3 linked regions of the Drosophila melanogaster genome follow. The protein of the gene in region 1 interacts with the protein of each later gene in a pairwise test. Each region holds a gene or a part of one and is shown in the gene's direction. Other genes may lie near its edges. The genes, in order: CG13068, CG10444 and PIG-C.

Region 1 (3,176 bases):
TATTATCCAAGTGCAGCTGATGCACAATATTCTTCTCCGTCAGCTGGAAGTTTTTCAACTCATTATAGGACAACACCAGATTCTCCAAGCTTGCCGCATCCGCAAAAGTGTCCGGATGGATGAAAATCAGGCGATTATTGGATAGATTAACCTCCTTGATGCGCCGCATATTGCGAAAAACCTCCGGTTGAATGCTGGTCAGTAGATTTCCCTCGAAGGACACCTTCTCCAAGTACTCGTTATCCTTGAAGATATCGTTGTGCAGCTCCTTCAACAGATTGCCCGTTAGATAAATCTGGCTAATGGTGTGCAGGCCACAGAAGGCATTCACACTCAGCGAGGATATCTCATTGTAGGACAAATCCAAACGCATCAGAACATTGGCGCCAATAAACACAGAAGTCTGGATAGATGTCAGATTATTGTAGGCCAGATTCAGATAGGTGAGATTACTCGCAGCACTGAATGCATTTCTCGTTAGCTCCAAAATATTCGTATTCGAGACATCGAGGGTCTTGAGATATGGGAATGTTTCGAATAGATGGAAGGGCATATAGAGCAGCGTTGATTCGTAAAACTTCATGAACTTGACCATATTTCCGGGTGGTATGTTCTTGATCACGACATTTTGACTGTGTGTGACCGTGAATCCGGTGACCGTGCAAAACGCCTCATTCACGTCCATGTATCCCATGGAATCGTACTCGTCGCATCGCAGGGGGATATCTCCTCCACTGCCATCACAACTCGATATCGCTAGAATAAGGATAACGATCACTTCGAGTATCCTTCGCGTTCTATTCATCTTTTTTACGAACCGCTCGCCGCCAAATAACTTTGTAAACTGCATCAGTGGAATTTCGCAGACTGCCATTCCAGCTTCCACTCCATTTGTATTTACATATAATATTGTATTCATTGATTAAACTTTATCTCGCTCCTCCGCAGATTGCCAGCTTTCAGTAGTCCAGCGCAATAGTGATAACATATTGTCGGTCTGCACTTTGTTTTGTTTATACTTTTATAATGCACTACATTATAACGGTCATTTCAAGACGTGATCTCATAAATGCATTTAATAATAGAAAAAGGTTTTAAAACGAATATATAAAATTTGGGTATCTTACGATATCTTTCTAAATATTGTCATTATATCAATTTTGGTAATATGTTTATACATATGTCGTGTAGCTAGACATTCTTCTGCTTCTGGTTTTCAAGATTAGAAGTATATGTGGTTAATTGAGTACAGGGTATTCCGAGGTCGTCCTCTCCCCAAAAGAACTTGCCCTGTAGGAACCCCTACATGTCTGGCTTCATTTTGCTTCAGAGATATAAGCCCATACAGGCACGTTTCGATTGTGAATGGACTGGTAAGCTGAGCTTGACTCTTATTAAAAGCTGTCTGCTAACTTTAGAGCCTCAGTTATCTGGCGACCCCCTCGAAACTGCATCTTGCCATGCAGTTTGTTGACCTTACGATGCGAATGTAAACGTAACTGGCGTTTTTTGGCTCGTGTGTGAGATTGACCGCATTGCATCAGTCAAGCGGATTAGATTTTGGCCGAAACAAAGAACGGGCACGATGACATGGTTTTGATTGCATAAAGACCATTGCAGCCGACGGACGTAACCCTGAAACAATGCGCTCGCAATCGGATTGAAGCGTGCAATTCCATTTCATTGATTCCTGGCCAACTCTTGGCGCAGGAGGTTACTCATCGGCAATTAGCCGTGTCTGGTGGCATCAATCACATCGGGCTACTGGTCACCTTCGCGGCGACATCTTTTATGGGCCCACAATGCGGACGTGCCCGAAATAATGAATGGGTTTGGTCTTGCATTCAGATTCGGATTCGGATTCGGATTGGAATCGACCTCCGCGGGCGGCGGGAACGTAGCCAAACGGCCAATTGAGCTACTGAAAGGCCGCTCTGCATTCCCATGCAGGTGGTATAGAATCATTCGCCCCATTATCGTGTGTGCCCAGAAAGTCAAAAGCATCTATGCGATTTCCCGGTGCTATAAAAGTTGCATGTCGGATCGAATCAAGTCATAGTCCAATTTGCTAGCTCAAATCAAACTAAACTAAACCATCATGTTCAAGCTGGTGAGTTGGTGGTTTCTCCATATGGATACAGATATCTGGAGTATTATATTAACTGGTTATTTCCGTACAGTCTGCCCTCGTTGTCCTGTGCGCTCTGGTGGCCTGCTCCTCGGCTGAGCCCAAGCCCGCTATCCTGGCCGCCGCTCCAGTGGTTGCAGCTGCTCCTGCCGGCGTGGTCACCGCTACCAGTTCGCAGTACGTGGCCCGCAACTTCAACGGTGTGGCTGCTGCTCCAGTTGTTGCCGCTGCCTACACCGCTCCAGTTGCCGCCGCTGCCTATACCGCTCCAGTTGCCGCCGCTGCTTATACCGCTCCAGTTGCCGCTGCCTACTCTGCTTATCCGTATGCCGCCTACCCTTACAGCGCTGCATACACCACTGTTTTGTAAAACGGATTAACAAGTATTCAAAACGGATTTGAAATGGAATAAAAATAGACCCGACTGGCAATAAAACAAATCAAACTAAAAGCTTAAAAATATTATTCTGGAAATGGGAACACCAAGTTCTGTTTTTCAATAGCAAAAAAGCTATAGTTATATATTATTAATACTTTTTAATGGATTTTCTACTATTAATTATTATTTCTCAATCTTTTGGCGGCAACAAAAGTTCTTGATAGTATTTAAAAAGAAAGTCACCTAAACATATACGTTTTTTATAATTAATATTTTTTTACTGTCACCTTTTCTAAACCTTTTGTTCTGGCAGCGTCTGTTCTGCCCACTTAAAATGCGGAAATGTAGCCCGAAAAAATACCAATTCAGTTGCGTCATCATCCATTGACAAATCACAGATGGCAAAAGTGATAGATTTCTCGAAATGTATAGGTAACCGGCATCTCTGGTAGGAGAATCACGTGTTGGCCATTTAAAAATTGCCGACTGAAAGTTGCGTCAACCCGAATAAATAATTATGCATGTGCGTGTCTAAAAATATATTTCTGGCTTAAAGCGGGCAATAACGAGTAAAATAGCAACCATAACAGGGAAAGGATTCAACAGGAGGGACAACAGTGTCCTTTGACCACCTTATGGCCAGTGGGAGGACGCTCCCCTAGGCAGCCA
Region 2 (3,756 bases), on another chromosome or scaffold:
AGGAAATGGACATGATCATTGATGGCTACAATGACGAATCGTAAGTTTTTTTTAACAAGATCTCATTAAAATGAAGTCTATGACTAACTCTTACTTTTGCAGTGGCAGTGACCAGGATGAGGATCCATTTGTGATTGAGCGACGTCGCAATCGGCTGCGCGTGGAGACAGTTAGAGCGCAGCTCAATGCTCTCCTGGCCCAACCCATCTTCCCCAGAGGCTTCAGCTTCAAGTATCCCAACAGCGAGGCGGCCCAATTAGCCACGAGTCATACTCAAAGTGCCGTGGAGACCATGAAGGCGGCCATAGAGGACCAGAAGCAGGCCAAAAAAGATCGCAACAAGCGAAAACGGAATGCCTAATCTAACTTAAAGCTGTTTTATTGAATAAGAGATACAAAGCTATAGCCTTGGATGTTTCCATCAATGCTTTGAAACAAAGTATCGCACACCTCCATCGGTCAATGAGCGAGCGTGCTTGGCCAATAGTGTGGAAACGGACAAGTTTGGGGTGGTAAAGCACCTAGTTATAAAACCGAAAATCAAAAAAACAATCTAGATATGTGTTCATCATTACTTACTCTATGTACGGTTCCATTTCCTCCATCGTCCATCTCTTTTTAGTCTTAAATAGCGCCCGCATGCGATCGCTTATATTGGTGGGCAGTAACTCCTCTGCCAGGGAGCGTATGCAAGGCTGCGCTCCCTCCTTGTCGCAAATGCCCAGACCTCGTAGGTACTTTAAGTCGCAGGACATGCCCTCGGGCAGTACCTCCTGCCAGGTGCGCATGAACTCCTCGTTGCGAAAGCGCAAACCCGGCTGAAGAATGTTCTGTGCCACAATGCGGGAGACCAAGGACTCCTGGTACTCAAACTTGCCCGGGCAACGTTCACTGGGAATGGTATAGATATCAAACAGCCCAGCCACAACATCCTCTGGAGCTATGCCCTTCAGTGCATTGATGGTCTCCTCCCGTTCCACTTCGTCCAAGGCCCAGGAGTTTTCGCTTATCAAACCCAGCATCATGTTAATAATGCGATACTCGTATTCGTACTCCATCACGCGCATTCGCCCGTCCAGTTCTATGGCTCGATATTGGTTCAATCCCTCCATGAACTGACCGCGGCTGCACTGCACCGTGTCCAGGAGCTGCGAAAAGGTAAAGAGTAGCTTCTGCTCCACGCAGAACTCGTTCTCCGGCCCCGAATATCGAGTCAGCTGCAGTAGTTCACCCAGCTTGCGAAAGCGCGGCTTTATCTCGCGGCACTCGAAGTACTCGTGGAACACCTTGAGCACCGGCCGCTGCTCCAGAGTTCGCGGCACTTCCAGTTCATCCTCCGTGCTGTCATTGAGGCTGCGCTCCAGGGAGGCGTTGGCGTTGCCAGTGCGCGGACTCTTCAGCGGCGAGGTGCTGGTGGCGGCGGCAAACTTGAGGTCCGGTACCAGCAAAAGGCTATTGGATATTTCCGCGCCCTTCACGTCGTACGTTCGCTCATCGGTGCACAGCACCAGCTTCTCGTTCTGGCCACCCTTGAAATATAGCGTCTGGCCGTCGCGGATTTGTCCAAGCATGTGCCCATCGAGCTCCAGAAGGCGCAGATTGTCCGAATCCACGTCCGCCGAGGGAAAGTACAGAGCCTGGGTGAGTTGGGTCAACTGGCGCTCGTCCAGTTTCGCATGCTTCACAATGGCCTTCACATCCTCCGGCGTGCGAACGTAGCTATGGCGGGTGGTTGGGTAACATTATAACTCCTACGCAGGCATACCAAAGGCACTCACAGCTGGGCAGCAGACTCATCAACCTCCATGGATTCCATGTTCGCTGCATGTAAACAAAACAAAAAATTAACCAAAACAATGAGCGGGAAAAAGTAGTGGGACCAAAGCACAGCAATGTTGCTTTCGTTGAGGGTATTCAATGGCCTTTCAATATGTAAGCTTAATGTGCTTGGAAAACATTACAGCATTAATCCGCACACCCTGCAAGGGCACACTCACCGCTCAGCTGATCAGTTATTTAACGGTCGTAGCCTCGGCAAGAACGTTTCTTTTTTGAGCGGAGATTTCGCGAGCACGCGTCTTGTTTTCCGCCGTTCGCCGTGCACTTGGACGCGCACTTTAGAAAGCGTTGACTGCGCCAAAGGTCATTGCTGGGCAAGAGAAGCGTCCAATCGCCGCTGGTGGTGACGCTTGTGGAAAAATCAATTCGGACCAGTGACGGACGTCGAACTTCCAGTTCTCTGACAAGCGGAATCCAGTCAACAACAACATGCCCGTGGGAACGTTTGACGCCTGGGATGCGGCCGTGCTGATCACCATCCTGGTCATATCGGCTCTGATTGGCATCTACTACCGGTATACAGGCGGCAAGCAAAAGACCACACAGGAGTATCTGATGGCGGACCAGAGCATGACCACTTTTCCGGTCTCCTTCAGCCTGATGGCAAGCTTCATGTCCGCCATCTCACTGATGGGCGTCTCCAACGAGTCCTACGAATTTGGTACCATCTTCTGTGTGATCAACATTGCCTACGTGCTGAGTACGCCCATTGCCGCGTACTTCTTCCTTCCTGTTTTCTACAGGATGCGGACGACCAGTGTGTACGAGTATCTGGAGCGGCGCTTTGGCCAGGCCACCCGGCTGTCCGCCTCCCTGGCCTTCACCGTGCAAATGGTGCTTTACATGGGCATTGCACTCTATGCACCAGCGCTCGCTTTAGAAGCTGTAACCGGCATTCATCGGTCAATGGCCATCGTGGTCATTGGACTGGTGTGCACCTTCTATTCGACACTTGGCGGCCTGAAGGCGGTGCTCATCACGGATGTGTTTCAGTCCTTCCTCATGTTTGCCGCCATCTACGCCGTGATTGCCGTGTCGGCCATTAAAGCCGGCGGATTCGCGGCCATCTGGGATGTGGCTGTGGAGCGAGGACGCGTGAACTTCATTGAGTTTTCATTGGATCCCACCGTGAGGCATACTTGGTGGTCTCTGATCATTGGCGGCATGGTCACTTACCTCTCCTTGTATGGCGTTAATCAAACGCAAGTACAGCGACTCCTGAGTGTCCGCAATTTGAAGAGCGCTCAGTCGGCGCTTTGGTGGAACCTGCCCATCCTAGGAATGCTTAGTTTTAGCACCATTTTCAGTGGACTGTCCATATTCTACTATTATCGAGATTGTGACCCTTTGCTAAAGGGACGCATCGACAAGCGGGATCAGATCATGCCCCTTTTCGCACTGGAGACTATGGGTGAGTTGGAAAGACATCCAATAAGAATTAGCATTATTTGATTTCTTTTTCCGGCAGGTCAATATCCTGGACTGTGTGGTCTGTTCGTGTCCGGAATATTCTCCGCCAGTCTTTCCACGATTTCGTCGGCAGTTACCTCGCTGTCGGCTGTAACACTGGAGGATTACCTGAAGCCCTTGTACAAGGCGATATTTAAACGGACGCTAATTGACTCCAAGTCCACGATGCCCACCAAGATTGTGGCGTGCATTTTTGGCCTGCTTTGCATCGGTCTAGCTTTTGTCGCTGGCTCCATGGGCGGAGTTCTTCAGGCATCGCTTACCATTTTCGGTGTGGTAGGCGGTCCGCTGCTGGCCATTTTCACACTGGGAGTCTGCACTACACGCAGCAACCAAAGAGGCGTGCTGCTTGGCTTCCTCGTTTCCCTGATAGTTTCCTTCTGGATGGGATTCGGCGGACCCAAACCAAAGCCAGTTACCTTGGAGTTTAGCACAGCGGGCTGTGAG
Region 3 (3,756 bases), about 13 Mb from region 1:
CAGCTGGGCGGCAATCTGCGCATTGATGCTCATAATGTGCTGCTGCTGCTGCTGGATTTGATGGTGCTGGTGGTGGTGCTGCTGGTGATGGGGGTGATGTCTCGGGTGCTGCTGTGGCGGATATTGATAGACCCCGCCATTGGCCTGTTTGTAGTAGTTCGCATTGTACTGGTACTGCTGCTGGAACTGCTGGGCGTAGTGCTCGAAGTTGGCATACGTCACAAGGTGCTCCTGTGGCTCGGGAGCCACATGGCGCCCCTTGATTATGTGCGCTATGTCGTTCAGCATCTTGGCCATGTCCAGCGAGGTGATGAGCTCGAAGTTGATGGCGTTGAGCGCCTCATTTCGCTGATGTCGCTTGTCCTCCACGGGCAGAAAGTAGTCATCCTGCGAGATCAGACGCACCTCGCCAATGGTGTACGGCGAGTTCCACAGCGGCGCTCCTCTCAGACCCTTGAAGTAGTCGTGCAGGCTGTGGGCTAGCGTAGTTTTGCCACCACAGGTGACTCCCGAGATACCAATGACCAGCCACTGCGGCATCTTGTCCACGACTGACTATCGCTCTTCCTTGTTTTTCAGTGGAATCGTACGTTCGCGTTCGCACCGAGCAAGATAACCCCCCGGATAACCCCCTTAATCACGTTTCACTCTCAGGCTCCAGATGTGGTAAAAGGAGAACGCGGCGATGCCGCCGAGGAAGATCACCCCGAACACGGTGGGCACAATGAAAGCGTACTTCAGCGGTGGAAAGAACAGCCGAATGGGATTGCCTGTAAAAGTTTGTAAAGTATACTCATGTTCACAAGTGTTTCATTTGATAACAGGCCAGGAAAGAAAATACGTAAGTATATTGTTTTTATGATTACTCTTAATAGCAACAAATTAAAATTGTCACGGAACGGCAAAACTACGATCATGAAATATTTACGTATAAAGTGAAGAGCCAATATCCAGGCGGAAAAACTACCGAAAATAATTAGCTAAGTACACACCCAGATTTGGAACCACATAATACAGTGGTACCACTGGTTAAGCACGTTTTCGTTTTTATCGCTGATTGTACATGCCTAGACTCTACAATAGCTAACTAGTTTGACTGTGCACATATCGGGCGAATACTGTACTCCTATCATCACTAGTCGTCGGTGACCTTGACCCGAGCTTAGAGCATCGTACAGCCGCATTCCAGGTAACCCGTGTTAGGGTGGTCACCTCTGTAAAACACACGGGTTCATCCTCGTACACTGCCAACTATATATAATTGAACATCGTGACCAATTTACGCCGCGGCGTCACTTTAATTACTATACAAAAGCGCGAGATTATTCAATAAAACTTATGTATTAGCGGGTGAATAACGGAAGCCGTGGAAAACTCACCTTCATCGATGAGCATAAACGGGAGGACGGCCACCCAAAAGAAGTAATAGAAGAACACGGCGATTGCAGATATCAAAATGATTTTCCCGAGTTGCGCATTCGAAGCCATAAATAGCTATTCTCGGAAATTCTGGGGTTTCTCTGGCGAGAGAACACGCGACCGGCGATTTGTTTGTAAAACTGCTCATGGGGCGTTCTCCCCGGACGGACTGCTTCACTGTCCACTGATCGTTTACCCGCCGCACGAATCCCTAATGTTTTTTCGTAGCTGCCGATTTACTTTCGTGGCGTAATTGTAAACAAAACAAACAAGTGCGTCAAAAAATTTCCGAATTCAAGGTAGTGGTGGTTCAACCACTCGAACAAGTATCGATAGCTCGAGTAACTGTTTTGCGCAACACCAGCGGATGTTCTTATCGATGTAGGCGAGTCACTTCTGCTTGGGGATAATTTTCAGAATAAGATTTGTATATTATTAGCTTGCTGTAAAACCCCTTGTTTAGATAATGAACAGTTTATTAATATTTCAAATTAAACTATCATCATCGATATTTCAAGTGAAACATGCATCACTATGACAGTGTGACCAGCACTTACTTTCAATACTTTTCAGTGGATAAAACAATATCGATATGTCGATAGTAACTGATACTATCGAACGCTGATAACCCAGCACTAATAGAATTGTAAACAAACAATTTTTAAATTTAAGAATGGTAAAAAATGGGCAATCGAAACGGCAGCCATGGGTGAAGAACCTGTACTCCAACCGGGAATATCCGGACAACTACACGGATGCCAGCTTTCTGAAGGATCTGCGCACGAATCTACATTGTAGAATATACACGTTCGGCGAAGCAATTGCCGGTATTACAGTGCTTAATAATCAGATCTCCTGCATCACCGGCTTCCTAATACTCTACCAACTTATGCTCAGCGACAGCGTGTCGCCCACCACGATCCTGGTACCCAGTTGCGGGATCACAGGCATTGGATACCTGTGCTACCGAGGAAGGAGTCTCAGCTGGGCCCTGCTGGGCGAGGATTCCAAAACCCTGGTCACAGTGGTCCTCTTCGGCTACTTATTCTCACCGATGCTGCACACCCTAACGCAGGCCATCAGCACGGACACCATATACACAATGACCTTCTTTGTCCTTCTGGGCAACCTGATATTTGGACACTATGGATTGGATGTAGCCATGGTCTCTAAGGTAGGCAATATTTACGGCTATTGGTGTTGATTGTATATTGATCTTGACTCCACCTCAGAATCCTATATAATACAAATACTTCTTGTTCCATGTTAAGCGCAGGCCGTCTCGTTGAATGCCGCCATATTTGGAGCAATTTGCTTAGCCTCCCGCCTGCCGACTTCGTATCACGCCTTCGTGCTCCTTGTCGAGGCTGCCGTCTTTTTCGTCCTTTATCCCATAATGACGGAAGCGAATTGGCATGCTGGATTCATGTTGCCTATATTTGCAATATGCTGTATGGCGCTGTACTGTATATCGCGCCCGGTGCTCTATCTCTACGCCTCCACCACCATTTTCATCAACTTTGTCTGCCCGTTCATATTCGTGTGGCAGCAGCAGTACAAGTTCAACATTCACGGGCCCTGGGACGAGGCCATCGTGGAGGAGAACACCGAGGAGAACCTGGATGGGAACTTATAGCGCCAGCTGCGCTTCTCAGAACAGTTGCCGCCACGACTGGGTAGCGGCGACGTCGAGGAGCACTTCACTGATCGCTAAACCATTGCACGCTTATTTTTATAACTTTGTAAACTCATTCCAAGCCATTGATGTTAATCTTTTGTATCATGTTATATCTGTTAGTTTGTAAGTAGCGTTTTAATAAATTATACTTTTTGTGTTTAAAACCATAGCACTTTTAAATTTGTGTAATTTTTAGGGGACTTTCTTTTGGTCCTATGAATGGCTTTTTAAATAAATTGTTATCAACTTAAGGCAAAGGTTTTTCAATTGAAAGATAATGGAGTTAAATTAACAGGGTGAGTTTTTTGGCTTGGTTGTGTTTTACTCAGACTAAAAATAAATTTAGTTAAAGATTATTTATCGTCAGCGACTAAAACCCGTTTCGTAGATAACAATTAAACATTCGCATGAGCATACATTGAATATATTTGACCCTATCTAACGCAAATAAATTGAAGCAATTGCTTTAATAATAGACTATGGAATATGGATGAGTGACATCTGTATTAAGTGCACGCCCTTGGGTTTCCCAGAAGTTCCTAGTCTAACCAGAGATTTAATTATTTTAGTATTCTGCGTTTTACCTATCTATGTAATGCATGCTGTCCTGCAAGCTACTTCCACAGTTTCAGTAAGCATTCTTGAGAGATAAATAATCC

Evidence for each region.
Region 2: the proteins of CG13068 (region 1) and CG10444 interact in a two-hybrid assay, tested with the Drosophila melanogaster proteins (one large-scale study listed by BioGRID).
Region 3: the proteins of CG13068 (region 1) and PIG-C interact in a two-hybrid assay, tested with the Drosophila melanogaster proteins (one large-scale study listed by BioGRID).

Annotation. Positions count from the first base shown.
Region 1 is NT_037436.4:16,267,337-16,270,512, forward strand, and holds CG13068 (uncharacterized protein), read left to right. Parts: upstream 1-2,055; 5' UTR 2,056-2,098; coding exon 2,099-2,110; intron 2,111-2,180; coding exon 2,181-2,498; 3' UTR 2,499-2,575; downstream 2,576-3,176. Other genes in the region: CG4950 (uncharacterized protein), read right to left, coding at 1-805; CG34248 (uncharacterized protein), read right to left, coding at 3,166-3,176.
Region 2 is NT_033778.4:20,272,751-20,276,506, reverse strand, and holds the start of CG10444 (uncharacterized protein), read left to right. Parts: upstream 1-2,007; 5' UTR 2,008-2,268; coding exon 2,269-3,250; intron 3,251-3,307; coding exon 3,308-3,756. Other genes in the region: CG9143 (uncharacterized protein), read left to right, coding at 1-40, 103-361; CG11788 (uncharacterized protein), read right to left, coding at 422-521, 580-1,719, 1,779-1,816.
Region 3 is NT_037436.4:3,317,529-3,321,284, reverse strand, and holds PIG-C (phosphatidylinositol glycan anchor biosynthesis class C), read left to right. Parts: upstream 1-2,052; 5' UTR 2,053-2,092; coding exon 2,093-2,593; intron 2,594-2,695; coding exon 2,696-3,055; coding exon of another isoform or gene 3,056-3,133; 3' UTR 3,134-3,257; downstream 3,258-3,756. Other genes in the region: CG12016 (uncharacterized protein), read right to left, coding at 1-540; Dpm2 (Dolichyl-phosphate mannosyltransferase subunit 2), read right to left, coding at 634-770, 1,380-1,488.